Linked DNA regions of Canis lupus familiaris. The protein of the gene in region 1 interacts with the protein of each later gene in a pairwise test. Links are inferred from orthologs where the notes say so. Each region holds a gene or a part of one and is shown in the gene's direction. Other genes may lie near its edges. The genes, in order: FXR2, PRAM1, FBP1, SCEL, MEAF6, NME1 and PSME3.

Region 1 (4,354 bases):
ACTCTTCATTTTCTCCGGTACCTAAAAGTGTTTTAGTCTCTAGGTTGTACTCTCCTCATGAAATATCTGTTCACCTTTCAGGGCACAATCAGCCAACGTTCCAGACCTTGCCTGGATGTCCACATTCCTCTTCCTGTCTTAAGGAATACAGCATCCCCAGCTTCAAGCTGTGGTTTTTATCCAGACCCCTCCTGTTTTTCTCCCAGAACCCCCTCCTTTCTTTTGAGAGTCCAGGACTAGAAGATAGGGTAGAGGTGGGGAATAATTTTCTATCTTATTTAAGGAAACAAGTATCTAGAACGCTTGGGTACTCTTCCTCTTTCTGGTCCTAAGCCCTTTAAGCCAAAGCCGGGATATGCTGCAGCCACTGAATTGAGTCATTCTTTGGATCTAGTTGGCTTTCTAGAGATTGATTCACCTGCTCCTGCTCTCACCTGCTTATCTCTCACTTTCTACCACTGGTATCTTTGGAGGAAAAAAATGGATGATGTGGGTGAAGTTAACATGAGTTTGGGAAGAAAACTTGTTCTGGTGAGTATTTGAAGGAAAAAGACCCTAGAAGTTTAAGATTGTGTGGTGTTTGGTTGAACTGCTGAGTAATGTGAGGGGAAACTCCATTCTGAGCTATTTCTGCCTTGGGGACAGATAGTGGTAGCTAGGAAAAACAGGGTGGTAGTGCTACCTCTCCCTGAGGGCTAACCCTAACATGTTGGGGGAGAATGGGATTAGAACCATGGGAATATCCTTTGCGAAGAAGTATATCTAGGAGCGGGAATCTCTTCTTAAAGGAGGCAGACAAGTGATTCTCTTCTATCTCCTCCATGCTTTTTATCTCATCCCTAAAATGTTTTGAGAAGAGCTAATCCTCTCTTAAACTATTTTTCAAGTTTAGGGACAGACATTTTGGATAAAGAATTGGATAAAGAAAAAAAAAGAATTGGATAAAGACAGAAGGAGCTAGGTAAAATGTTTCTAGAAATCCACACAGACCCTCACAGAGGGAGAAAAGAAAAGGAAAGTGATGCTGTTAGGAGGGGAGGGTGGAGGATGCTCAAGGAGCTGAGAACCCAAGGGGGAAGAAGGACTCAGGCAAACAGTGAGGAGTGAAAATGCCTCAGAAGACTCGTGTGTGGAATAGCAAGCTTGGGTATAGGTGGAGCTGTACAAAGAGTGGAGAAAACATGGGGAATGGCAGAGAAAACGAAAGCACAGCTGAGCAGAAGGGCAGGCACCAGGAGGACCAGATGCCTTGGGCAGTAGTAAAGCTCTGCATAGTGAGGCGCCGCAACAAGATCTGATCCCAAAAGAAGAGAAGGATGGCCAGCTGGTATCAAAGAATGAAATCTGAGTTTTGGTTTTCCCACCGTAAGGAAACAGCAGTATAGTAAATGTTTACGTTCAACCAGTTCATTGAGGTGGTAATGATAGAAGTGTGCATTTTCGGTGTTTTCTCTCCTAAGCTCAGCTGTTACGCATAGCTGCAGAGTTCAGGAATGGTTCTTGTGTGTTAGACTTTTTGAAATCCCTAAATTTTTTTAAAAAGATTTATTTATTTGAGGCAGGGAAGGGCAGAGAGAATTTCAAACAGACTTACTGCAGACTCCCCGTTAAGTGTGGTGCCTAAAGCCCGGCTCGAGCCTACCACCCCAAGACCATGACCTGAGCCAAAATCAAGGGACAGACACTCAACCCATTGAGCCACCCAGGCGCGCCAACCCCTAGTTCTTTGTTAACAGTTTTATTGAGGAATAAATATTGAAGTGCATATGTTCGAAGTATAAACTGAGAGGTTTTGACTTAGATACCAGTCTACATATCTATATAGATACGTGTCAAACCATTACCACAATCAAGATATTTCCATCACTCCCAGTTCTTTCAACCACCAATCTGCTTTCTGTCTGTTGGTAATATGTTAATTTGCACTTCCCTGATTTTTGACAAAAGCAAAAAGGCAATTCAGTCGAGAAAGGGTAGTCTTTTCAACAAATAGTGCTCAACCGGACTGTCCACGGGTAAAAAATGAACTCTGCATATCTTGCACCATGTACAAAGTTTAACTCAGAGCAGATCATAGATCTAAATGTAAAATAAAAACTACAAAACTTAGGACGCCTGAGTGGCTCAGCGGTTGAGCGCCTGCCTTTCTTTGGCTCCGGGGATGATCCCAGATTCCCCGGTTCAAGTCCCGCATCGGGCTCTTTGCATGGAGCCTGCTTCTCCCTCTGCCTGTGTTTCTGCCTCTCTCTCTCTCATGAATAAATAAATCTTTTTTAGAAAAAAAGAAAAAAAAACCTACAAAACTTGTAGAAGAAATAGGTGAAAGCTTTGGGTGTTGGATTGAGCAAAATTTTCTCAGGAAACCAAAAGCTCAGTTAGAAAAGAGCAAATTGATAAATTGGACTTTCAAAAACAACAATCCCTAATTTTGAATATGTGAAAATTAGAGAAGGTAGAAAAATTGGGAGCATAGGATTGAACATAGAGCTTGCCTGTCTTTGTTGAGATAGTAGGAAGTGGACCAGCTATTCAGTCATCCCTGTTCCTCTCCCAAGTCATGGTCTCAATTTGGGGTGTGGGGGTCTTACCCTTTTCAGATTCGTAGCAGCGTGTCATAGTCTAGCATTCAGAAATCTCACATATCCTAAGTCCTGATTTCTCCTTCTATAAATTGTGTTCATCCTTTTGAACTTCAACAGTGTTCCAAGAATTCACTTAGGACCCAGGCACGAAGGCACCGAGTTTGCTCAGGTCTCTTGCTGCGTTGGGGAGCTATACCCTTTTCTCTCTTGGCAGATCCTGATGTCCTCTAGGTGTTCCAGGACAGCCTCACACTGTCTCATGGGATATTCTTAGCCTTGCTGAGTATTGTTGGTATTTTAATTGAACTCTGGCAAGTTGCTCAGCACAACAGGAGGCAGATAGATAGGGAGGCCCCTGTGGGAATTATAGTAGACCCATCAGTCTCCAGGCTGTTCTTATGCAGGTGATGTTTTCCCCTTCTGTGTCATTTGTCTCATCTTATTTGTGGATTTTGCCAGTTGTCTTTCCATGTCAGTGTCATTTCTTTTGTCCCTGCCTCAACTTCATATTCTTGCCCCAGTCCCCAGTACAGGTAAGTTTTTCTGGTCCTATCTTTAAATTTCTTGTGTCTCTATCTAAAACTCTAGGTAACCGTCTCTTTTCCCTTGATGGTAGTAAATTGTCGTTTTCTTTCTTTCTTTCTTTCTTTCTTTCTTTCTTTCTTTCTTTCTTTCTTTCTTTCTCTCTTTCTTTTTTCCCTTCCCTTCCCTTCCCTTCCCTTCCTTTTCTTTTCTTTTCTTTTCTTTTCTTTTCTTTTCTTTTCTTTTCTTTTCTTTTCTTTTCTTTTCTTTTCTTTCTTTTCTTTTCTTTTCTTTTCTTTTCACTTTGTTCTAAAATCCATTCTAGGGCTTTGTGAAGGATGTCCATGAAGACTCTGTCACCATCTTCTTTGAAAACAAGTAAGACCTTGGGAATAGAGAATCCAGCATACTAGGTCCTAGAAGGAGAGTGGAGAAGAGGGGGCGGCTGAGTCCTATGAGGCATGTAATAGGTGGGGGAGAGCCAGGGGTGTGGGTGGTCAACTTATATAGACCCCAGGAGAGGAATGGGCTGAAATGTGTGTGTGTGGGGGGGGAAACGGTTGACCTAGTATTTGGATTCTAGCAGGAGACAGAAGATACAGTGGAGCAGGGCTTAGAATTTAGCCTCTAATCACCAGAGAAGGTGGGAACTGCCCAGCAGAGGCAGTAACCCCTTCCTGAAGAAATAGCAACATGATCCCAAATAGCTTTCATGTCACGGTTTCCCTTGCAGCTGGCAGAGCGAGAGACAGATTCCTTTTGGGGATGTCCGGCTCCCACCTCCAGCTGACTATAATAAAGAGATCACGGAGGGGGACGAGGTGGAGGTAAGAGCCAGGGCTCCACCCCTTCTAAATGTCACTTTTTCCAGGATTCTGTGGTCTCCCTTGCCCTGAGACCAGTATCCCAGGCTCTCCTCTGGTTGGTTCACTCTCCTCCCTCTGAAACCCAGCCCAGTAGGCTGTGGAAGAGAGAAGTGCACCAGCTCCCTTTCCCTGTTGTGATCAAACTCAGGGAGCTTCCCAGTTTCAGGGGAGTTACTTTCCCGTTATGGTGACAGCACCCTCTGGGCTTTTAATTAGCTCCTTCCTCGTGTCTCCTTTGTTGTGGTATAATGTGCTTCCCAGGGTCTGAAAGTTGCGTTCATGATGTTTTCATTTTTTAATTTTTTTTCGTTCGTGATGTTTTTAGCTGGGCCTCAGTATCTCTTTATTTTCGGCTCCAGGTTTATTCTCGAGCCAATGAGCAGG
Region 2 (2,679 bases), on another chromosome or scaffold:
AGTGCTCTGCCCAAGAAGCACCTGCACACGGAGTTCTTTGGTGATCTCCCTAAAAAGCCCCCACTCCCTGGCTCCGTCTCAGAGAGCTCACTCCCCGCTGCTGTGGCGGGCTCCCGCCCCAGGCTCCCATTCAGCCCTGGCTTTGGAGCCAGGGAGCAGAGATCAGGAGCTCGCTCTCACAGTGGAGGCTCGAGGCTGGGCCTCCAGCCTGGCCACCCACCCCGGCGGAGGCCTCTGCCCCCAGTAAACAGCCTAGGCCCCCCCCCAGCCAAGCCCCCACTGCCCCCTGGCCCCAGGGATGTCCAGAGCTTCCGAAGAGCCGCAGCCGCAGCCACAGGTAGGTCACAGCAGCCTCCGCAAAAAGCTGGGAAGGTAAAGGCAGGGCCTGCCTCCCTCCCGCTCTCCTCCTTCCACAGCTCTGAGGAGGACCCGTTCTTCTGCTGGGATCCACCTCCAAGCCCGACAGACTCAAGACATCCTGCAGTGAGTGTGGGGAGTTAGTGGGTCCTGGCGCAGGTTTAAGGCTGAAAGAGGCCCTCATCTCAGGTTCCTACAGGGACCCGGACGAGGCCTATGAGCTGTATGACGACGTGGAGCCCACGGACAACTCCAGCCCCAGTCCCATGGGCAGAGGTTTGTTGGTGGTGGGGCTGAGCCCTCAGCCAGAGCATCCTGCCCAGGCACCCGGGGACCATTCATTGCAAGGGCACATTCTTCCATGCTGTTGCGGCAAATCTGAGGGACAGTCCGTCTCCCTGGCAGTGCCAGGGGAGAAAGTGGAGGGCAGGAAGGGCCTTTTAGAAAGGCCATGCCAGCTCCTGACACAACAGTAGAGGTAGGGCAGCCCAGAGGCCAACACCAGTGAACGTACTGTGGCCACGGCAGGGGTGTGGCCCAGGGTGGTGGCAGGCGGCATTACAGAGCAGTGGAAGAATCAGAAAGAGGATTTGGTGGCATGTGATGCAGGGGCGAGAGGGAGCAAGTGAGCCCATGACACGGATGAGGCCCAAGTCAAGCTTGACACTTGGGTGCAGAGAGGAGGTATCCCTGAGTCGGGGACAAGGTGTCAGGTTCCATAGTAGACTTGTTGCACTGGAGGCGCTTGCTGGATGTCCAGGCAGGACTTGGGCCTCAACTGAGGCATGGGCTGTAGACGGAGACCCTGAGCCTGCAGTCCTAGACACTCTGTGCTCAGGTTCCTGAGGACCTTTCTTTCTCCCTTCTTCCAAGTCTCTGCTCCCAGAGAGCAGGATAATGGCAAAGCAGACCCGTCTCCAGCCCTGCTATAGGTTAATGCTTTCACCATTTTTTTTTGGGGGGGGGGGGGGGGGGAGTGACTTTCATGCAAGCCCTGTATGTGAACATCACTGAACATGTACAGCCACCCCCCACCCCCAAGGCAACAGCATGCCCTTTTACAGAGGTGGAAGCCTGAGAACCCCAGAAGCAACTTGCCCCAGTTCACACAGCCGGCAGACAGGAGCCCAGGCCCTGTGCTCTCAAGACTTCCCTGCCCTATCTTTGGAAGGGCTTCCTACAGGGCAACCTTTTATTAAGGGTGGTGCCTTTGGGATGCTCCGCGCCTCCCCCCACCCCCCCCACCCCACCCCCGCCCCGCTCAGCCCCAACACCAAGTCTGCTGCCTGTACTACTCTTTCCCAAGCCCCTTCTGCTTCTCCTGGGCTTTCCTCAGGGGCTGCTTACAAAACTGTCTTAGTAGAGCTTCCTGACAAGGCTCCTCCTGCTTCCGCTCTACTGAGGCTCTTGTGGCTGGGGTCTGGGGGGCCAGTCTTGGAGAGGGACGTGGGGAAAGAGGCAGTTAGCTTCCAGCAGCCTTGAAGGTATGCCCCCCCCCACTCTTCCCCAATCCCCAAACAGACCAAGAACATCCCGACTTCTGCTCACTGTCCCTGCCAGTGGAAAATCATCTCCCCATTCCATGCCAGTCATTCTGCAAGACTCCAACAAAATACACTTCTCAAATCTCTCCCTTCTTGAAATACTATGTGGGTCCTCACTGGTAATACGCTGTCCCAAAGGCTACTTTGTACTCTTCTAGTCCAACCTCCCACTCTGCCCTACTTGGGAATGGTAGCAGCCCGACCCCAGAGGTTCCTTCCACAGCTGGGAGCTCTCCTGGAAGGGGCTGGGGCCAGCACACGTAGCTCTTTCTCAGATCTCAATAGGTCACCCTTAGAACCTCCCTTACCTATGTGCCTGATTAGGGTCACACTGCCAGAAATTTGGGCTGCAGGTGTGCCAGGTCTGTCCTGTGCCACAGTGCACAGGGGCATGCTCTACCCCGTGGTGGGTTATAGGGGTCCTGGGGTGCCTCTGGGAGAAGCAGGAGCAGTTGGAGGGAATATCCTGGATGAAACTGGAGATGGCATCATCATCTGAGCACCAGGATGTGGCTGGAGTCTGGAGCAAAAAGCCAGAGGCTTCAGGCTTCAGGTTCTAGATCCTTCACTCAACTGGTATTCATGAGGCTCTCGTAAGCCAAACCCCAGGGCCAGCAGGCTCCTACGTGGAATGCTGGCAGGTTGCCAGAAGTCCGCACTCACGGGGGGAGACCCCTCACAATAGTCCCAGCAGCAGCCAGGCCAGTCCATGAACCCCACCCCATCAGCCCCTTCTCAGACACCCACTTCATTTGCTCTAGGAAATGCCTTTGCCTTA
Region 3 (3,893 bases), on another chromosome or scaffold:
GATGCACCAAACCCAGGGTAAAAAAAAAAAAAAGAGCTGGCTGGAATCTGCTGGGAGACAGGTGGCTCCTGGTGAGGTCCTGGGCTTTGTGGGCGTGGCAGTTCATATAAACGAGAAGGTAGGCTGCCTTGGCCCTCTGCACTCTTGTACTATTGGACTTTGCCTCCTTGGAGGAACTGGTGCTTAATAAATAAACAAGGGCAGAAGAAACGGCACTAGATGCAGCCTCCCAATGAGGCGACCTCAGGGGAAAATAGTGGCAGAACCAGAGCAAAGTTCGCCCTGAGCTTAGTGTGCAGTTTCTGGAACCACTGAAGTTTGCAAATGTACTGCTCTGCCAGAGATTTACTGCTTCCCCAGACAGTCTTCCAGTGACTTCTCTGTTACCTTTGAGTTGGTGGACGTGTAGAAAAAATAAAATCTCTTCTTGTTTCCAGGTCTTAGACCCATGTCCCCAGGAGTTAGTTTCTGTGTATTTGATAGGCTTTCACCTCCCTGAGCTAATGGCCCGCCAGTGTTCAGAACAGTGCAGGCCTGCTGTGATACTCTCCTGCTGGGGACACCATCTCATTAACCTACAGCTCACCCCTGCCTGCGGGCTGAACCTTGGACCCCCTCAGCGCTTTCTTTTCATTTTGGCTGATGATTTCTGCTAAAAAGACTGAGACAGCTCTATGTGCATCTCCAGCTGGCTTTACCTTTCAGAAGGCTTTCAGTTTCTTGTCTATACTTGGAGGAGACTCCTCCTTCATGTCTGGGATGTTCTGGCCAGGTACCAGGGCAGGGCGTCGGGGAAGCGTGGCTTTGTGAGCTCTGCAGCACCCATTGTGTGGTGGCTTGGTTTTCAAGACCTTGTTTGTAAAAGTATTTATTTATTTAGTTAGTTTTCTGATTTTTAAAGGATGTTTCTACAGAATTGTGGTCCAAATTTTTGGAAATAAAAAAAAAAAACATAAAAGATAAAAAGAAGAACCACTCACATGAAACCTTCCAATAAGCATGGTTAATTCTAGTGTCTTTTTCTCCTTTCCCATCTGCATCCTCCTTCCTGCTCTCCTAGTCCTCCTTCCATCCCTCCCTGTCTTCTTTCCTTTCTAGGGCAAACACATTCCTTACCTGCAGGAGCCACTCTCTGCGATGGGGGTAGATGGCTGTACTGCCTCTTTTCTTCTTATGTCTTGCCTCCAGGGAGCAGCCCCCTCCCCGCAAGGGCAGAGCTTCAATCACCCTCTTCTCAGGACACTAGGACCCCCAAACTATCCTCTGTTCACAGCAATAGGAGTGAGGTGACGCTTCCTCTCCGAATTCCAGTCTCCCCTAAAGCACATTGGCCCTAAGGGCATCGACTCAACACTGGGACTTGCTGGACTTAGTGGCAGCAGTTCTGAGAAATGTTGTCCAGATCAGCAAGCAAAGGCACTTGATGTCGTAAATGCTGTCAGTCAGGACTCAGGATTCTCTTCTTTTCTGTGGCAGCGCACAAAAAGGGAGCGCCAGGGCAGAAGTGGAAGCTGAGAGCGCACTGAGCACGCCCTGGGACTTGGTGCCCACCTCTCCTGTACCCCACCTCCTGGCTGCGCCAACAGATTTTCTTGGAGAGGCAAAGTTGTATATTGCTTTGAACACACATTTCCCTTCCCCCAACCCCTGGGGACACTGCTATTTATTTTTTGTTATTTTGTGTTATTATTATTATTACTTTTTCATCATGATAAATGTGCTCTTTAATCCCCATTGCACCCCACCCCCCCAAACCAGCAGCTCATCCTCTATACCTGAGACTCTGGTCCTTGGTCACTCTGTCTCTCTTTTTCCTTTGAGTGTTTGTTTCTTAAACTCCACATATGCATGGACTCACAATTCTTATTCTCCGTCAGGTTTTGCTGCTGTTTTGTGCATTTCTGCCCTCACTACTTTTGTATGGTTTCCTCCTTGTTTCGCTGAAACCATTTGAAAGCCAAGCGCCTTGCCTGGCTCCCCTGACAACCGGGGCGGCAGCTCTTCTCTCCTGTTTTCTTTCCTCCCGCTGACTCTCCGACTCTCCGGTGCTCCCGTGGTCCCGTTCACCAGTCCCGGAGGGGCAGGCGGGGGACACAGTGTCCCAGGGACCTCACACAGGCCTGGGGGACGCGGCTCACGCTCTCTCCCTCTCCTTCCTGTCTCCCAGGCCATTGGAGAGTTCATTTTGGTGGACAGGGATGTGAAAATCAAGAAGAAAGGGAACATCTACAGCCTCAACGAGGGCTATGCCAGGGAGTTCGAGCCCGCCGTCACCGAGTACATCCAGAGGAAGAAGTTCCCCCCGGTGAGTGAGGGCCTGGCCAGGGCCCCCGGTGACGCACCCATATGTTGGTTCATGCCTCACCCTGGAGGCTCCAGGCGGCGGGGGTGGCCGGGGCTGGGATTCCACAGAGCGCTGACCCCATGCGGAAGGTCCCATCTGTACTGGCGACCGGGACTCCTGCGCTTGGATGTCAAAGTCCCAGGGCCGTGTCAGCCTCTGCTACTGTCTCTTGGCAGAAGAAAATCCGGATGATCAAGTCAGCCAGATGAATGAGTTCATGGGCAGTAAAACGTTTCCCTCTGTGGTCCCTGATGTCAGGGGCACGGAGCGTGGTCCTCTTACCTGGGTGCCTGCCCGGGGCGGCCACTGGGTTGCTGGCAGCCATCTCAAGGCTAAGAGTGTCCTTCCTGGTACCCTTCTGAAGAGGTTAAAATCATCAAATACGAGAAGAAATGGTTCTATGTAGGAATATCCAATATTGTCATCTCTTACCTCAACGCCATTGAAAGCTGTTGTGTTATAAGGAGGAAGCCCAGATATTGTTAGTATGACATTCAGGGCCACAGAGCTGGCCCCAGGGTCTCTTTCCAGGTTTATTATCTCTCCTTCCACCCTACCCTACATTCCCTTCCCACCCCCTGAACCCTGCACACATGCTGTGTACCAGGTTCCTCCCTGGGCCTCAGGGAACCAGCATCTGCTTCTCTGGGATGCTGGGCTTTGCTTGGACAGTCCCCACCCTATACTGCCCACCCCCCCCCCCAGCCCCATCTCCCTTGCCCAGCTCCTTGGCTTGGCAAAATCCTTCTCAGCCTGCAAGGTCCTGCTAAAAGGTATGATTCTGTGATTCCTGTCCCAGTCCCATAGCCAAAATCAACCACACCCTCCTCGGGGCTTCTGCAGGTCATTTGATCCTATTATAAGATGTGTAAGAGGCTGACTTTTCTGCTCCTGGGAGACAGGATATTCATCAGGTTTCCTAGCCACATCCCCAAACACGCCCCTTGTAGGTGCTCATTAAATGATTGTTGAACTGGATGAGTATAGAGGACAACCCTGATTACTGTTGGTCTTTCCCTTGCAGGATAACACAGCCCCTTATGGGGCCAGGTACGTGGGCTCCATGGTGGCTGATGTCCACCGCACCCTGGTCTATGGAGGGATCTTCCTGTACCCAGCGAACAAGAAGAGCCCCAAGGGAAAGGTAAACGAATCTCCTGAACAGTAGTTGAAAATCAGTGGATTCCATTTGGAGCCCAAAGGATTTGATTTAGGAAGAAAGAGAGATTATAGCAGCCTTATATTATATAATATAATTAATATGACATATTAATTATATTGCTGCTACACTCTGTGGTAGGAGGCTGGGGATGTCTGTGGCATATTCTTTCCTAGATTGAAGGATGTCCTACTTAAAGCCAGGTGATATCGGCTTAAAATGGTTTCTTGAGAGCCCCCCCATTGCTAAAGATAAGTAAATAGTGTTATGGTCAGGACGGATGCTTCCAGTGGGTGTCTGGTTTGGCCTGGGCAAAATGAAGGCCATTCATAATGTGAAATGAAACAGTTCAGCTTCATTACCAAGGTAGAAAATCAAATATGTATCCTA
Region 4 (3,893 bases), on another chromosome or scaffold:
ATTTTATATTCACATTAGATATATTTAATTGTATATATAATATTGAAAGATGTGATTCTTGTTCATTGTACTTAGAGATGGCACTCTTGATGGTGATTGTTACACATGTGTATGAATGGAGCAACATACAACGACCTCTGCATCCAGGAATTCATTCTTTGGCTTCTGGGATGTTGCTGCTCTTTAATTTTGATATACTTGATGTACTTTCCATGCCACTAGAACTTTCCATGCCATACAGCTGCCTACCAGATCAGCCCCTCTGCTGATTCCCAGGAGTCACTATTAATGTCACATTTTTAGTGTCTAGGCTTCACTGCATCATTTGACTGTGCCCTCAATCCTCCCTCCTTGTGGTTTTCCAGAGTCAGCTCACCTTGCAAACAGCTGCATGGATATGCTGCTATGACCCACCCTGGGCCCATACTCAGTTCTCAAGACAGGGGTTACAATGCATATCAAGTTAATTCTGGTAAACTAACACCAGGCTTTTGCTGTTGGTGATCCTTCTTTACCATTTAATGTTCAGTGGGGCACATAGGTGATGCTCATGAGAATACATCCTGCAGATTTCCAGTGGACAAAATGAAAGTAATTAGCATTTCAAACCAACCACTGGAAGCCAACTGTAATGCAAATGCACAACATTCTATTGATGGTGTTTCTTTATAGCAGAGGCTGGAAATATGACTTCTTGAGGGTAAGGGCCTATCTTATTTTTAAGCACAGCTTCAGCTTGTAATGCTGTGTTTTACACCTAACAGATACTCAGTAAATGTTTTTGGAAAAAAATAAGCTAATGCTCTATTTGCTAAGAAAAAACATGGATGGGCCAGGCATCAAAATTATATCCTCTTTCTGTGACTTTTATAAGATCTTGTAGTACCAGTGATCCTCTGAGTATCTTGCCTTTATGTCACACTTCTTTGAGGAATAAAGTCATTTACACAAGCATTAGAACTACAAATACTGTCTAGGTAACTAAAAACAAACTAACAAAAAAGGCAGCTTTTTTCCCCCATAATCCTTTGAAAAAGGTCTTTCATTAACAGTATGATCTTAATAAGGACAACACCAACATCAAAGCTTTCCCTGGGCTCATATTGTTACTGTTAACTTAAGGAAGGAAAAACATTCTTCACATAAGTATTGCTCTTAATATGAAGAATTTCAATTCTGTTACTAAAGTGGCTCTTGAACTTTTTCTTAGTCATCAGAGCAAAAGTCAATCGTCTGTAGGACCAGTCTGCCAAGCAACTTTTCTTGTTGATTAATATGTGAAATAAGCTACGTCCCCAGAGGTCTTATCTAAGCATTTCAATCCCATATAAAGTGGTTCCCACTTTACCAGGATAAAGACTAATTCCTCTGCACAATTATTTATGGGCCTTTAGAATTTGTTCCTGCTGAATATTGACTGATGTTTAATCACTCCAGATACCCTCTTTGGTACATTCTGTTTGCTCTGCTTGGAATTCCTCTACCATGCTCCTCTGCACCTCACTGAGCCCCTCTGTCCTCAAACTTTCACTCATGTGGCACTTTTTCCAACAAGGCCTTCTTGACTCCACCCCAGGGAATAGTTGCTTCGTTGGCCATGCTCTCCTAATTCTCTCCATGTATCTGTAATAAGCTGTGATCATCGAATCATACACTTGGCTACCCTCATGGCAAGGAGACTGTCTCACTCTTTGTATTCCCAGCTCCTCCCCCAGTGCCTCTGGAATGGAAGTAGAATAGAGAGTGCCTGCTTTGTACTCTTGAAGTGCTCACGGTCTTACATAGAAAATTTAAGTGTGTGGGCACCTATGTATGTATATATACGAATTATCCATAAGAAACTATTAAAAAAAAGAAACTATTGACCAGGAATATATAAGGAAGGACCTTTAGAGATAATTGAAAGAGGAAACTATTTATTGATCTATATAAGGACTAGAATAACTGAAATTATAAAATCAGACAAGTTTCATCTTCTTAAGTCTCCTCTCCTACCTCCTCCTTTCATTCATTTTCCCTCCTCTCTGCTTCTAGTCCTGGGCTTGATCATAGGATCAAGGCTCTGGGCACAACTAATTCACTTTCATATGATGAGCCTAGTGGTCTTCATGGGCAGGCCTTGAGGCAGCACAGGACTCTAGGGCCACATTACCTTTGTTCAAATCCTGCTGCCACTCAACTGGCCGCATGACAGAAGCAAATTTCTTGCCCTTCCATGCCTCAGTTTCTTCTTCTGTGAAATGATGTGAAAATAACAGGACCTGCTTCTCAGACATATTTTGAAAAGTAAATGAATTTATGCAAGCTAAGTGCATGGAAAGCACACTGCCTGTAGGAAGCATATTAGCACTATATAAGTATTGATTATTTTTATTTTACACTTGTGTACCCTACTGTGGAAATTTCAGGCCTGTCTGCTAACGCCCTGAAACTAGTAAGCTTTGCAAGGTGCTATTTAAGGCAGTCCTGGTACCTTCCCAAAGGAAAAGAATCACGGAGCTGTTGGCATTTCATAAGGTGCTGTGTGACCTGAGGTCTTTTGGACTTGCTGATCTTATCTGTGGTTCGTTTGTCATTGAATGTTATTTTTCCAAAATAGATAACAAAACTCTCTTTTCCTCATCAAATTTGTGGAGAGGTTGTATCTTCTTGGAGAACATAAATTCTGTCATGAAAGCTAGCCCTGTATTCTGAGTCTTAAAATGATACCAGGAGATTTGTTATAGAGGAGCATTTTGGGGACTCTAGACCCTAGAGTCTAGGGTACCACAGACCCATCATTTGTGAATTTACCAAAATGCTTTTGAATGGATTTGTATTTTTGTCCTATTGAATGTTTTGAGAGTTAAGATTTTATACTGATTGACAGTATAATTTTTCTATGATATATGCAAATTAATAATTCAAAACCCTCTTCTAGCTTCAAGGGGTACTCATGACCTAGTTCAATTAGGGAACTATGAGCATCTTTACCCTGACCAGATGCACTCTTCATTGCTAATGAATTAATAATCTGAGACTTTCCTTCATATTAATTCTTTGATAGTATTTTGAGGTAACTAAAAGAATCAATTCTGTCACTAGAATAAGTAAGTCCCAAACTTTTCATGATTTTCACACAATTTCCTAAAGTATCAACAAAATTAACATATCATTTCCACATGACTTTATGGGGAATACATCTGTCTCTTGCATGATGACAAATTTATTTGTAATTGCTATGTCTCTGTAGGTCTGTCATTGAAAGAGATATGTGTACTTATTGCCGGAAACCTTTGGGTACAGAAACTAAAATGATTTTAGATGAATTACAAATTTGCTGCCATTCCACTTGCTTCAAGGTAAGGATATGTTTATTGCAGTTAACTAAATATAAAATTGCATAATGACTGGAATAAAAATAATTATTTAATGAAATACAGGAGGTGAAGTTAAAGCTTTCAGAAACACTCTCATCCATATTAATAATGTATTACTTAAATATTTCTCAGAGTTCTGCAGCCTAAACCTCAAAGGTTTATAATTACTATCTTGGCTTTAGGCTTAGAGTTGATTACTGACACATTTATTACTCTTACCCTAGAGATTTAAATCTGTAAGAATATAAACACTTGTTCTCTTTATAAGTTTTTGCAACATTTTAATAAATCATGCATTGCATAAAAACAATGAAATCCAAGAAGAGAAATTGTTAAGAAAGCTAGCAGCTTTTTACATGAAGCATGAAATTTGGACTGATAGGCTTAATGATAGTTGAAACTACTGAAACTTTTGAGAATATGATTAGTTATAAATAATTGTAGCTGAGTATAATAAAAATAAGCTTACATAGTGGAACTCCTCAATTTCTGGTCCTACATCATTTCTTTTACTTCTCGCCCTAATATTGAGTA
Region 5 (3,893 bases), on another chromosome or scaffold:
CCACCCCTGTGTGCTGACCATATTACAATTTAGTGATAACTATTTAGAACTGTCTAAACGTTTTAAACATCTTCAGGTTTGACATTGAAATAGTACTGTGCACACTTGATGCCCGTGACCTGCTTTCATCAGTTGTTAACATGTTGCCACATTTGCTTTCTCTCTAATGTATATAAACATACACATATTTATACTTTTTTTTTAAAGATTTTATTTATTTATTCATGAGAGACACAGGCAGAGGGAGAAGCAGGCTCCTTGCAGGGAGCCTGACATGGGACTCGATCCCGAGACCCTGGGGTCATGCCGTGGGCCGAAGGCAGGTGCTCAACCACTGAGCCACCCAGGGATCCCCACATACCCATATCTATACTTAAAATTTTTAGAGGCACCTGTGTGGCTCAGTCAGTTAAGCATCTGGCTCTTGATTTCAGCTCAGGTCATGATCTCAGGGTCATGGGATCAAGCACCATGTCAGGCTCCATGCTGAGCATAGAACCTGCTTAAGATTCTCTTTCTTTCTCTCTCTCCACCCCTCCCCCTCCTCTCTCTCTGTCTTAAAAAAGAAAAAAAGTCAAAAATTTTTGATGTCATTACAGATACATGGGAAGTTGCAGCAATATTACAGAGGTCCCGTGTACCCTTCACCTAGTCTTTCCCGATGGTTGGGCTTTATGTAACTGTAGTAGAATATCAAATCCAGGAAACTGACATTGGTACAATGTGTATGTGTGTGTGTAATTGTCACTGCCGTGTAGACTCCTGCGTGCACCACCTGCGTGCACCACTGCAATCAAGATACAGAAGTATTTCATCACCACAAAGATCTCCCACCTGCTACCCCTTTATAGTTATATCATCCCTTTCCTCCATACTTTTTTTTGTTAACCATTTAAGCAGATAGCACGACACTTTGCTATCTAATTATGTCAGCATTTACCTCCTAAGAATATTTTCTTTTCTTTTTTTTTTTTTTAAGATTTTATTTATTTATTCATGAGAGATACATAGAGAGAGGCAGACACAGGCAGAGGGAGAAGCAGGCTCCATGCAGGGAGCCTGACATGGGACCCGATCCCGGGCCTCCAGGATCACGCCCTGGACCCAAGGCAGGCGCCAAACTGCTGAGCCACCCAGGCTGCCCTTTTTTTTTTTTCTTTTTTTGAAGAAGAATATTTTCTTACCTAACCACAATTAATGCATATAGAAAATTGCATTACATTAATAGTATCATCTACTATAGTCTTTATTCAAATTCCCCTAATTGTCCCCGACATGCTTTGCTACCTTGTTTTGATCCCTTCAGTGTTCATGTATCAATATTTGGCTATTATGTCTCTCTTGTCTCTTCATTTAAGAGAGTTAAGAGAGTCCCCCACCCTTTTTGGCAGTAAAGTTGTTCGTGACACTGTCTTGCAGAATGTTCCAATTCCAGATTTTTCCTTTTGTGATGAGAGATCCTTTAAGGATTTTTGGCGAAAATATTGCATAAATGATTTGTATGCCTGGTGTGTTGTTTACCTCAATTTTATTGGGAGGCACATAGTGTCAGATTGTCCCATTATTGGTACAAAGATGGAGCATATGATTTCTCCGTTGTAAAAATTTATTTGTTCTCTGTAATTTATAGGTAGTTTGGGGGCTGTACTTTTAGGCAGTGTGAATATACCGCTTTTCCAAATTTTTATTCAGTGGTTTTAGTATCCATTGTTGATTTTTACCCGACTCATTTGATGTACTGTGGATTCTGATTTTACTCGTCCTGGTACATGGATCACTGGTATTCAGAAAGAAGAATCTTCCCTTCATATCTTCTCGCCCTTTCGTTCTGTATCTCTGGCCTTCTCTCTTTAGTATCACTAGAGACCAATGGATTTTTTTTTTTTTTAAGATTTTTATTTATTTGACAGAGAGAGAGGGAGAGGGAGTGCGCACAACAGGGGCAGTGGCAGGCAGAGGGAGAGGGAGAAGCAGGCTTCCCACTGAGCAGAGAGCCCCCCAGGCCCCTGGGATCACAACCTGAGCTGAAAGCAGACATGTAACCGACTGAGCCACCCAGGTGCCCCAGGACCAGTGATTAAAAAAAAAAAAAAATCAGTGTGTGGGAATCTAGTACCGTTACTTTTTTATTGTGGAGGTTTATTTTTTGCTATAAACTTACTGAAATACATGCAGAGAAGCACATACGTCATAAACATACAGTTTGATGACTTTTCACGAAGCAAACACACCCATCATTATCCTTTCCAGTGCTTGATTTGTCCCAAATATGGCCAGAGGAAGCCTCCTTTGTCCTGCTGATGTGACCCTATTAGACTCTGTTAGTCTTCAGGCATTTTGCTGCTTTCTGTCCTAGCAGGGTCTCTTAGCCTCACCTTGCCCTTTTCTTATCCCAGAACTGAGACCAGCCATTTCCTTAAGGAACCCTGGCTTGTTCTTTAAATTTTTTTTAAGTTTTTTTTTCCCTATTCACGAGAGACACAGAGAGGCAGAGACAGGCAGAGGGAGAAGCAGGCTCCCTGCAGGGAGCCCGATGGGAACTCGATCCCAGGACCCTGGGATCACACCCTGAGCCAAAGGCAGATGCTCAACCCCTGAGCCACCCAGGCATCCCTCATTACATTTTTTACATTAAGCTTATCTGACAAAACCATTTCATATCACTAGTCTATGCTAGCCGTTTTTAATAATAAGTATCAAATACATATGAAAATGTTAATGACAGTGACCCAACTGAAGTAATGTCCCACAGTGGAGCACCCCCCTATGCGCTGGAAACCGTTGCTGTCTGGGTGGGCATTTAGCGTTAGGGTCCTGTCGGTCACTCCAGAAGGTGTGGAGGCATTTCTGTCTGAAAGCTCGTAACTTAAAAAAAAAAAAAAGACAGTGAGAGAGTTCCTTACTGTGCCCTGGGCCATCCTCAACTCGAGCCATAGATTCAGCTTGGTGCTTATGAGTTTCTTGTGTGTGTTTTAGAAACTCCAATAGCAAAAACGACCGAAGGAACCGGAAGTTTAAGGAAGCTGAGCGACTCTTCAGTAAATCCTCAGTTACTTCGGCAGCTGTAAGTGAAGTGGGGGGAATCTTTCTGTGGCCCATTGGGGAGAAACCCCTCAGTTAAATTTCTGCTAGTTCCCTTTCTCCCTGCTGTCCGGGGGCTCTCCGGAGGTCTGTGATAATTTTTCTAGTAACAGGTTTCTTCTTTTTTTTTTCTTTTAGGCAGTAAGTGCATTGGCAGGAGTTCAGGATCAGCTCATTGAAAAGAGTAAGTTTTTTTTTTTTTTTTAACTTCTTTATTATTTCATTTTTAGGTTTGTCTTTACCTCCTATCCGACTATGTCTCTGAAGACTACATCTCTTATACTCTTGCCTCTTTTTTCTAGAAGTTAGGGAAACCTTTAAGTCTCTTTAATCCTGTCTTTTTGTTGTTGTGGAGGAAGAAACCGTGTCCCTCTAGCCTCTTCTATCATGCAGAGGTTGACTGTAGCTATTCAAAGACACAGAGATATGTCTTTGCTGCTGATAAGTGTTAGGGAGTTTTTTTTGTTTTTTTTTTGTTTTTTTTTTTTTTTTTTAATTTCAGACATATCTGATAACTCTCCATGTCCCCACTTTAATAATTCTTAGGAAAATCTGATCCTGTGAACAGAATGTACCTATGTGTTCTTAAATATAAAACATAGGGTAGATAGTATTTACTTTGTAAAGAAATTGTATCATTCTATGTAAGCCATCCAGTCTAATTCTGTTCTAAGGTCTGGTGATGGAATACAGATCTGTGCATTTATCTTTCTGAGACTCTGGGTAGCTGTATTGGACACTCTTCCTGTACAGTGGGTCACTTTGAAACATAACCTGCTTTTTGTATCATGGCTGTGTACTTCTTTCAGATG
Region 6 (4,590 bases), on another chromosome or scaffold:
TCGATCCTGGGACTCCAGGATCACGCCCTGGGCCAGGGGCGGGTGCTAAACCGCTGAGCCACCCGGGGATCCCCCTTAAGACCTTTTCTTTGATCTTACCGAATGCGAGATCATGTGGCTAGGTACCAGGGACAGACGCAGGAGCAAACCATCCCCGTATACAGGCCGCAGACCCGTGTGTGTGTGTGTGTGTGTGTGTGTGTGTGTGTGTGGGCGGGGGGGGGAGAAACACAAACTAAAGATAATATATATGTATTTTTAAAGATTTTACTTACTCATGAGAGACATACAGAAAGGCAGAGACCTAGGCAGAGGGAGAAGCAGGCTCCTTGTGGGGAGCCCGATTGGGGACTCTGATCTCAGGACCCCGGAAACAAGACCTGAGCTAAAGGCTCAACCACTGAACCACCCAGGCCTTCCAGAAATTAAAATATATTAAGCTGTCATAATAAGAGGTTAACTAACCTACAGGAAGATAGAGCCAGGAGGTGGTGTGGCTGTCCTCATTAGGGATTGACCTTCAAGGTCAGGGGCCTCCTCCTTCCCTTCTTGTGAAGGCAGAGCAAGTCTTGAGCCCAGTCTTCTCTGTAAAAGGCAAGATACGAGATTGACATTCTCTAGGCAGACTCGTTCCTGCGTGATGTCCCAGCTCAGATACTACTAATGGCTCTAGTTCTTCCACCATCCACCTTTCTCTGGTGTGTCTTATGATGTAGCATAAATTGTATCCAAAAAAAAAAAAATAAAAAAAAAAAAAAAAAATAAATTGTATCCAGTTGGGAAATCCAGATTTTTTGGCCCTCATTTTGGTGCTCTAGATTTGTTTTCTTGTTTGCAAAATGAGGGGGATTGTAATGAAATAATCTCCAAAACCCCTCCCAGTTCTAATACCATGACTGTGGCAGTGGGTTAGACTGTATTTCATTCTGCCTTGGACCTGACACCACTTTATCACTGTAGTTTCTTATCTGGATAAATCAGAAGGACAGTATCTTTTCTTTTCTTTTTGTTTTAAACATCCACTACCTTAGTTATGCCACAGTACAGGTTAATAGAAGCTTTTAAGTCAAATGGGATAGAAAAAATAGCCCCTGCTTTTGGACCCTTGCCCACCCTGGGATATTAGTTCAGGAATAAGGGGACTGAGAAGGAATTGGGGGGTTTGTGTTTGCTTAGGGAAAAATTTTTTCCCCCCTTAGGAACATTTTTTACACACAGGCTACTCCAGAGTTTTGTCCGTATAGCACCTTGTAATGAATACATTCGTACACTGCAATAGCACACTATTCTTTTTTCTAAGATTTTGTTAATTTATTTTAGAGAACATGCGAGCATGAGCAGGGAGGAGCAGAGGGGGAGGGGAGAAAGAATCTGAAGCAGACTGCTCTCTGAGGCTCTCAGTGTGAGGCTCAGTCCCCTGACCCTGAGATCATGACCCAGGCTGAAATCAAGAGTTGGACACTCAATCGACTGAGCTGCCCTCATACCCCTTTAGCACACTGTTCTTATTGGTATATACGACTAGCACTGTAGGAACATTGTGTATACATATATCTTTAAAGTTGTCTTAAAAGTAGCACAGCGTGGTGAGCACACTAGGCATTGGGTTTTTACCTGAGAGACTTGGAGTTGGCATGACAGATTTAAACCAGCTTTATGGGGTAATCGGCTTGCGATGGATAATGATGTAGGCAGGATATTCCGTGCCGTTTCATCCTCCCAGCTGTTTATCCTCAGGACCATGGCCAACAGTGAACGCACCTTCATTGCCATCAAGCCTGATGGAGTCCAGCGCAGCCTTGTGGGAGAGATCATCAAGCGTTTCGAGCAAAAGGGATTCCGCCTCATTGCTATGAAATTAATCCAGGTAAGTGGACTTCACTCTTCATATTTCTGTTTTCTTGGAGTACAAGGGATCATTGTAGGTTAGCCTCCCTGTTCTCGCCTCCCCTCCTCTTTAGCCTTCTTCATGTAGGGTGAACACAAGCATCCTGAAAGCTGGAAACTCACTGGTGGCTAGCACTGTGGCTGAGTCCTACCACAAACCCAGTTTCTGGGACTTCTGGGAATAGCCTCCCCCTTTCCTTTAGCAGTGCGGAGTTCCACATATTACTACTGCAGCACTGTGATTTCTTCTTTCTTTCCTTTATTTTTAAGCAATCTCCACAGCAAATGTGGGGCTCGAACTCAACTCTGAGATCAAGGCTCCACTGACTGAGCCAGCCAGGCGCCCCTGCCCCTGCCCTTTTTCAAAGATTTTATTTATCCATGAGAGACATAGAGGCAGAGGCAGAGGGAGAAGCAGGTTCCTTGCAGGGAGCCAAATACTGGACTTGATCCCAGGACCCCAGGATCATGACCTGAGCCAGAAGCAACCGCTCAACTGCTGAGCCACCCAGGCGTCCCCCTTTCTTTCCTAAATTTTTATTTTATTTTATTTTTTTCTTCAGATTTTTATTTAAATTCTAGTTAGGTAACATACATGCAATTTTGGTTTCAGGAGAACACTGTGATTTCTGACTCAGAGCCCTGGGCGTGTTTGAGCACCCAGTCTTGAGCTTCCTGAGCAGATAATTTCAGAGAAATTCCCCCTCCTCCATTCCTCTCTTTGAGTCAGGCAGGTTGATTGTCAGCAAGGAGATTTTTCCATCCTTATTTACCACCCACTTCGTGTCTAGCATATTAGGCACCATTAGGGCATGTTGTGGGAAAGCTGTGGTTTTGTCCTTTGGAAGGCCCACTTGAAAACAGCAGAGAGGGCAGCCCCCGTGGCGCAGCGGTTTAGCGCCGCCTGCAGCCCAGGGCGTGATCCTGGAGACCCTGGATCGAGTCCCACGTCAGGCTCCCTGCATGGAGCCTGCTTCTCCCTCTGCTTCTCCCTCTCCCTCTGCCTGTGTCTCTGCCTCTCTCTCTCTCTCTCTCTGCATCTCTATGAATAAATAAGTAAAAAATCTTTAAAAAAAAAAAAGAAAACAGCAGAGAGAAATGGCACTTGCAAGAAACCTACAAAGCAGTATTTCAAAAAATGAAAAGGAGGGGGCACCTGAGTGGCACAGTCTCTTAAGCGTCAGACACTTGGGTTCGGCTTAGGTATCTCAGGGTCATGAGACTGAGTCCCATGTCAGGCTGCCCACAGCAAGGAGGCTGCTTGAGATTGTCTCTCCCTCTGCTCCTCTTGCTCATTTCTCGCTCTCTCTCTCTCTCGCTCTCTCTCTCAAATAAATAAATCTTTAAGAAAAATTTTTTAAAACCTCGCAACCCCCCCACCCCCAAAATGAAAAGGATTAATTAGTCAAGAATCCTTTTTCAGACAGACCTGGGAAATGAGAATTCAGATTCTCAAAGCCTATAAATTAGAGAATGGTCTTTTTTTCCTATTTATAGAGTCATCTTTTTTTTAATTTTAATTTTTTAAGATTTTATTCATTTGAGAGAGAGAGAGAAAGAGAGTGAGCAAGAGCAGGGGGTGGGGAGTTGGAGATACTCAGATTCCCCGCTGAGCAGGGGCTTGATCCCAGGACCCTAGAATCATGACCTGAGCTGAGCAGATGCTTCACTGACTGAGCCCCCCAGGTGCCCCAGTAGAGTCATCTTTGGAGTCTGCTAGTGTATTTTAAGTTTAGTTTGATTTGCAATTTAGTTCCTGTGTGATGTTTTAGGAAAACTGCTTTAGTATAAAATGGAGTAGATGGATGTTGATGCAGGGGGGTACATCATGGAATGATTAGTGCCAGGTGTTAGACAAGTATGGCTTTCCAGAGAGTTTGTATATTAAATTAGGTTTTGAAGGCAAAGTGAAATTTTTTTTTTTAATATTTTATTTATTCACGGCCTGAGCCGAAGGCAGACGCTCGACCACTAAGCCACCCAAGAGTCCCGGCAAAGTGAAATTAGAAAGTATTGTTGATTGGGCATTTACCGTGTGCTAGACATGTGTTTTTTCTGGCTCGCATGACAACCCAGAGACGTACTTATTTCTATGCCTATGGTTGTCAGTTATGAGGAACCTGGGGCTTGGAGAGGTTAAGTAATGTATCTGAAGGCACATAGTGATGGAACATGGATTTTAACTCTGGTCTCTCTGACCCCTAAGTGCATGCATTTTTTTCCACTACACTCAGTTTCCTATCAAGGATATGGGCTTGATGAAGATGGACAGCTGCCAGGAGCCTACAGAGTTGTTTATATCTGACATGGAGAAGGGTGGAGAGGGGAAACTTGATGTCCCCCCTCTGAAAAAAACCCTGTAATCTGTTCTGCAGATTAAAGATAACCAGAACCAATTAGTAGAATTAAAACAGTGTTCGGGGAAGGGAAGGTCAAGTCAGTGTGTGTCAGGAGACTGCCCCTAGTAGTCTTCCAGGGGGATTGGAGGGGATGGGAGAGGAATTGCTAACACGGCTGGTCATGTGGCTGTGTCATTTTACTTTGGCAAGTAACAATCAACAAGAGGCTGAATGGTAGGATGATTTGGATGTGCTTTCTGGCAGCAGATCTGCCCATGTGTGGGTCTCCCTGCAGTGTGCAGTACTATAGAACTGGAAAAACTGAGTCCTTGTTAGACCCTGAACAGGCCCTGTGCGCAGTGGC
Region 7 (4,558 bases), on another chromosome or scaffold:
TTTTTACTTCTATAAGGAACTCGTGTATTTCTCGGCTCTGGGACAACGCCATCCCAGGGCCTAGTACAGCGTCCTGCCTCCATTTCACTGAGCGAAAGAACCAATGTTAAGAGAGACCGGATGAATGAGCGAGTGAAGAGGTACGGTCTCTGCCTCCTATTAGGAAAATAGATAACGGCATTGTCCTGAAAGTCGGGAGATCTGGGTCTGGAAACTGTGTGGGCTTGGACAAGCAATGCCGCGCTCCGGTTGTCAATCTGCCCATCAGGCAGCTGATCTCTGAGGTCTCGAACTGTATGAGGCTAAGTGACGGAGGAAGGTGGAGAAGCCTGGGACAACAGAGCTTGACTTCTGTTTGACTCTAGCCTAACACTAGAGCTTCGGCCGACGGGAGGAGGCAGCAAGAATCACAGAGTAGAACCCCCGAGCCCAGCGCCGGGGCCGCCGGCTTCCTCGGGCCGACGTCACTGGGGCGCGACGGCGCTGTCCGTCCTGTCCTCGAGGCGGCAGCGGTTCAGAAGGTCCCTGTGATGAGGGCGAGCGCCGAGCTAACAGAATGTCCAACAGTCCTGGAGTCTCTCTAATGCTCAGTTTTAAGCAAACCACCCTCGGCTGCTCTCCCTCCTACTTCGCCCTTACCCGGCATTGGATGCCGGCTGCTAGGAGTCCGGTCTCGGACGTCCAGGGCTGGACCCCAGCGCGGCTGCGCAGGGCACGTGCGCCTCTCCGGAGTCCCGGCGATTGGCTGTGATGTAACTTCCGGCGTGAGCGGCGAAAGCCGGGAGGGCGAGCGAGAGAGTGAGCAGGCAGCAGGCAGCAGGCGGGCGGGCGGACGGCTCGGAGGGAGGGAGCGAGCGAGCAGTGAGTGAGCCAGCGAGGGCGGTCGCGTCCCTAGAACAGCCGAGATTCTTCCCGTCCCTCTGACCCCCTCCCCGGAGCCCACAGCGCCTCTGGTCTCCAGTGGAGCGGACACGGCCCGGCCCGGCCATGGCCTCGTTGCTGAAGGTGGATCAGGAAGTGAAGCTCAAGGTAGCGGCACCGGTCTGGGCCTCCTTACCCCCCGCTTCGATTCCCGAGCAGTCTGACCGGCTCCCCACTCCCCATGGCGTCTTTGTCTCCCTGGGGACACCAGCTCTGAGCTTCCGCTCAGCTCAGCCCAGCCCCCCACTCCCGGAGACGGCATCAGGGGAGAGGATAATATGGGGTGGCCTTGTGAACCGCATCTGGTGGTGGAGATCCCCGAGGAGACCTCCGCGGACACGTGGTGGACTCAACACTTTAGGCCAGTGACAGCTGGAAGTCCCCAGTCCAGCAACGTCCCCGCCTCCGGATGCTACCGCTGTTCTACCCCTACCCTTGGCGTCAGGCCTCCCTGGTATCAAAGGCTAGGTCTGGATGGGGGCTTGGCACGTTTGTGAGCTCACATGCCCCCTGTCTACCTGACTTTCGTTTGCTCTCAAATCCAGACAGCTTCAGACACAAGGAGGGAGGGTGGGAGGGAAAGCAGGCGGGTGCTACCCTCAAACCCCACTTCCCTCTCCTGAGATGGAGAAATGGATCCTCAAAAAAATAAAGTATTTACAGTCTGGGGGTCTCTCAGCTTCTCATTACAATTACAAGGTGAGGGGAGTACGGCTGGATTTGGGTTTTCCCGTCCTGCCCTTAACCTCTGTTGCCAGGTACTGACTTGCTGTTACTGAATTGCTCTCTTTGTTAATTTTAGGTTGATTCTTTCAGGGAGCGGATCACAAGTGAGGTGAGTGCAATAAAAAAAATAAAATAAAATAAAATAAATAAGCGTTGGTTGATAGTTGGGAATTTCCCAAAGAAGAGATCTGTAGAGAGAGACCTTCCCACAATTATTAATTGAGCTGTATTTTCCTTCATTTTTAGGCAGAAGACTTGGTGGCAAATTTCTTCCCAAAGAAGTTGTTAGAACTTGATAGCTTTTTGAAGGTGAGAGACTCTTTTCTTCAAATTCCCGTTTTTTTGGCTCTGGTCTTTCTGTCAAATGGGAGAAATCATGTGTTGATTCTATTTTGTTTTGTACAGTAAAATGCTCTCATTTCTTGCCCTTCAAATAAAATACTTCTTTGTTCATTTTGAAAAGACTGATGTTGTTTTGGGGGTGGGCGTCTCTCTTTCAGGAACCAATCCTAAACATCCATGACCTAACTCAGATCCACTCAGACATGAATCTCCCAGTCCCTGATCCTATTCTTCTCACCAATAGCCACGATGGACTGGACGGTGTGAGTGTCCTGTATTTTTCTTTGTATTCTGAAGCAATAGTTCTCTAGTCTCTGTTCTTTACTTCCTAGTCAATTTAAACACATACGGAGGAGACAGTGGATTAGGATCTAGGAACAAGGGCTCTTATAGACCTGATGATTCCAGTATACCACTTTGAGACCCTGGTTTTCATTTATAGCATGAAGTGTGTAATGTAATGTTACTTTGTCCTACAGTGAGTTCCTAATAGGACTAGTAGCTACAGGTTTCCTCAAGTTATCTGGTCTGTCCCTGTGGCTCTAAACAAGATATTTCTTACCTTTTTCAATGTCTTGAGTATTGTTAGAGGATGAGTAGTGCTTGCTATATAACTGTAGTCTCTGTCTATGTGACATATATTTAGAACCCCGTGCTTGCCAGTTACATGTCCACATTTCATAATAACAGTGTTAACACTGTATTGTCTGAATTACTGTGTCCTTGATAGAGCTTGCAATTCTGGAAAACAGAAACTATTAATCATCTTTGTATCCCTAGCACCTAGCACTGTACTTGGTACATAGTAGGTGCTAAGTACATGTTTGTTGATTGAATATTGTACTTCTTTGTGGAAGTTGAAGATTTGTACATATTCCCTTTAGTATACTCACTGTGCTTTGAATGGTTCATTTTTCCTGTTGCTTATAGTATCCACCCCTCTCCCCCAGTTGCTTAATGTGTCATTTGAAGGCTGGTCTTCCCAACTAGATTGTAACTTGCTTTGTGGCAAGAATCTTTTTTAAAGTCTTATATGTGCTTAGTAAATTGTGCATAAATGAAAACAGCCTATGGGGCCAAAGAGATTAGACTTGCTTGAAGGGTAACTTGTGATGGGAATATGGGTGTCAAGAGCAGACTAATTCCTATCTCTGTATCCTTAGCCCACTTACAAGAAGCGAAGGTTGGATGAATGTGAAGAGGCCTTCCAAGGTAAGAGCCAGTCTCCCCCGCCCACCTACTCCCTGGCTTGCAACCCTGAGCAGGAGGATTGATCTGGCAGTCTCTGATCAGAAAACAAGACCGAATTTTATTTTCCAGCGTTAACATTCCAAAGTTCTACAAACATGGTTATTATTTAGCACCCCAAACCTAATTTCCCAATAAATAGGGAGCGGTTGACTTAGTGTGGACTGTCAAGGGGGAGAGGTTTGAGGTGGCTACACATCTTAGATTTTCCACAGAAGTTCTAGTTATTTTCTCTTTTTCAGTAATAGTTGGTGCATTAAATCTTTAGAGCATATTTTAATTTCCTATTCTTTCCTTATTCAGATTTTGGCACTTTTTTTTTTTTTAAGGATTTTATTTATTCATGAGAGAGAGAGAGGCAGAGAGGCAGAGACATAGACAGAGGGAGAAGCAGGCTCCGTGCAGGGAGCCCGATGCAGGACTCAATCCCGGGACCCTAGGATCATACCCTGGGCCAAAGGCAGGCGCTAAACCGCTGAGCCACCCAAGGATCCCTTGACTTCGGCACTTTAGACACTCATTTTAGATAAAAAGCAGAGATCATAGCATCTCATGGGTCTGGGAAACAAGGAAGGTGGGGGTATTATGTCCTGTCCCCCAATCCCTCAATCATTTGACCTTCTTCATGTCCCTGCCAGGAACCAAGGTGTTCGTGATGCCCAATGGGATGCTAAAAAGCAACCAGCAGCTAGTGGACATTATTGAGAAAGTGAAACCTGAGATCCGGCTGCTGATTGAGAAATGCAACACGGTGAGGCAGGGGCTAGTGACTTAAGGGCTGACCCCAAAAAGCCTGGCTTGAATTATGAAAAATATTGGTTGTGGGGCAGGAGGCATGGAGGTGATAGAGGAGTTGGCACATTAAGTATCTTGGCTACCATGTTCCTGGCATCTGATCCCAGCAGCAAGGATTGTATATTTCATGGCTTCAGCAGAAAAAGCGAGGGTCTTCATATATGTGTGTGTGTGTGTGTGTGTGTGTGTGTTTCTATATATATATATATGTCTATATATATCCATATATATGTATATATATTGGTCCTCTCACCCTTCAGGTCAAAATGTGGGTACAGCTTCTGATTCCCAGGATAGAAGATGGGAACAACTTCGGGGTGTCCATTCAGGTAACTTGCTTGTATTACAAACTGGAGAGGAAGGTTCAAAAGGTTTACTCTCCTTTTCCCTGCTTTCTCTTTGGCTCTTTGAGTGACATGGAAGTGACTTGACCTCGACCCTTGGGTTTTTTTTAGGAGGAGACAGTTGCAGAACTAAGAACTGTTGAGAGTGAAGCTGCATCTTATCTGGACCAGATTTCTAGGTA

What was found.
Region 2: the proteins of FXR2 (region 1) and PRAM1 interact in binary tests that used the Homo sapiens proteins (3 or more experiments, as listed by UniProt). The two-hybrid records come from large-scale screens. The link is inferred for Canis lupus familiaris from reciprocal best matches to the Homo sapiens genes FXR2 and PRAM1.
Region 3: the proteins of FXR2 (region 1) and FBP1 interact in binary tests that used the Homo sapiens proteins (3 or more experiments, as listed by UniProt). The two-hybrid records come from large-scale screens. The link is inferred for Canis lupus familiaris from reciprocal best matches to the Homo sapiens genes FXR2 and FBP1.
Region 4: the proteins of FXR2 (region 1) and SCEL interact in binary tests that used the Homo sapiens proteins (3 or more experiments, as listed by UniProt). The two-hybrid records come from large-scale screens. The link is inferred for Canis lupus familiaris from reciprocal best matches to the Homo sapiens genes FXR2 and SCEL.
Region 5: the proteins of FXR2 (region 1) and MEAF6 interact in binary tests that used the Homo sapiens proteins (3 or more experiments, as listed by UniProt). The two-hybrid records come from large-scale screens. The link is inferred for Canis lupus familiaris from reciprocal best matches to the Homo sapiens genes FXR2 and MEAF6.
Region 6: the proteins of FXR2 (region 1) and NME1 interact in binary tests that used the Homo sapiens proteins (3 or more experiments, as listed by UniProt). The link is inferred for Canis lupus familiaris from reciprocal best matches to the Homo sapiens genes FXR2 and NME1.
Region 7: the proteins of FXR2 (region 1) and PSME3 interact in a two-hybrid assay, tested with the Homo sapiens proteins (2 studies listed by BioGRID and IntAct). The link is inferred for Canis lupus familiaris from reciprocal best matches to the Homo sapiens genes FXR2 and PSME3.

The regions. Positions count from the first base shown.
Region 1 is NC_049226.1:32,726,732-32,731,085, reverse strand, and holds the start of FXR2 (fragile X mental retardation syndrome-related protein 2), read left to right. Parts: upstream 1-1,370; 5' UTR 1,371-2,980; coding exon 2,981-3,115; intron 3,116-3,429; coding exon 3,430-3,482; intron 3,483-3,837; coding exon 3,838-3,931; intron 3,932-4,329; coding exon 4,330-4,354. UniProt on the Homo sapiens protein: mRNA-binding protein that acts as a regulator of mRNAs translation and/or stability, and which is required for adult hippocampal neurogenesis. Specifically binds to AU-rich elements (AREs) in the 3'-UTR of target mRNAs.
Region 2 is NC_049241.1:53,444,466-53,447,144, reverse strand, and holds part of PRAM1 (PML-RARA-regulated adapter molecule 1), read left to right. Parts: coding exon 1-337; intron 338-416; coding exon 417-483; intron 484-556; coding exon 557-633; intron 634-2,679. UniProt on the Homo sapiens protein: May be involved in myeloid differentiation. May be involved in integrin signaling in neutrophils. Binds to PtdIns(4)P.
Region 3 is NC_049222.1:72,706,421-72,710,313, forward strand, and holds part of FBP1 (fructose-1,6-bisphosphatase 1), read left to right. Parts: intron 1-2,167; coding exon 2,168-2,305; intron 2,306-3,368; coding exon 3,369-3,488; intron 3,489-3,893. UniProt on the Homo sapiens protein: Catalyzes the hydrolysis of fructose 1,6-bisphosphate to fructose 6-phosphate in the presence of divalent cations, acting as a rate-limiting enzyme in gluconeogenesis. Plays a role in regulating glucose sensing and insulin secretion of pancreatic beta-cells.
Region 4 is NC_049243.1:31,254,275-31,258,167, forward strand, and holds part of SCEL (sciellin), read left to right. Parts: intron 1-3,232; coding exon 3,233-3,341; intron 3,342-3,893. UniProt on the Homo sapiens protein: May function in the assembly or regulation of proteins in the cornified envelope. The LIM domain may be involved in homotypic or heterotypic associations and may function to localize sciellin to the cornified envelope.
Region 5 is NC_049236.1:5,019,984-5,023,876, forward strand, and holds part of MEAF6 (chromatin modification-related protein MEAF6), read left to right. Parts: intron 1-2,976; coding exon 2,977-3,064; intron 3,065-3,219; coding exon 3,220-3,265; intron 3,266-3,893.
Region 6 is NC_049230.1:26,940,740-26,945,329, forward strand, and holds the start of NME1 (nucleoside diphosphate kinase A), read left to right. Parts: upstream 1-1,741; coding exon 1,742-1,867; exon of another isoform or gene 1,868-1,900; intron 1,901-4,590. UniProt on the Homo sapiens protein: Major role in the synthesis of nucleoside triphosphates other than ATP. The ATP gamma phosphate is transferred to the NDP beta phosphate via a ping-pong mechanism, using a phosphorylated active-site intermediate.
Region 7 is NC_049230.1:20,061,745-20,066,302, reverse strand, and holds the start of PSME3 (proteasome activator complex subunit 3), read left to right. Parts: upstream 1-1,502; 5' UTR 1,503-1,545; coding exon 1,546-1,620; intron 1,621-1,723; coding exon 1,724-1,756; intron 1,757-1,893; coding exon 1,894-1,956; intron 1,957-2,147; coding exon 2,148-2,252; intron 2,253-3,152; coding exon 3,153-3,201; intron 3,202-3,875; coding exon 3,876-3,988; intron 3,989-4,292; coding exon 4,293-4,361; intron 4,362-4,487; coding exon 4,488-4,555; intron 4,556-4,558. UniProt on the Homo sapiens protein: Subunit of the 11S REG-gamma (also called PA28-gamma) proteasome regulator, a doughnut-shaped homoheptamer which associates with the proteasome. 11S REG-gamma activates the trypsin-like catalytic subunit of the proteasome but inhibits the chymotrypsin-like and postglutamyl-preferring (PGPH) subunits.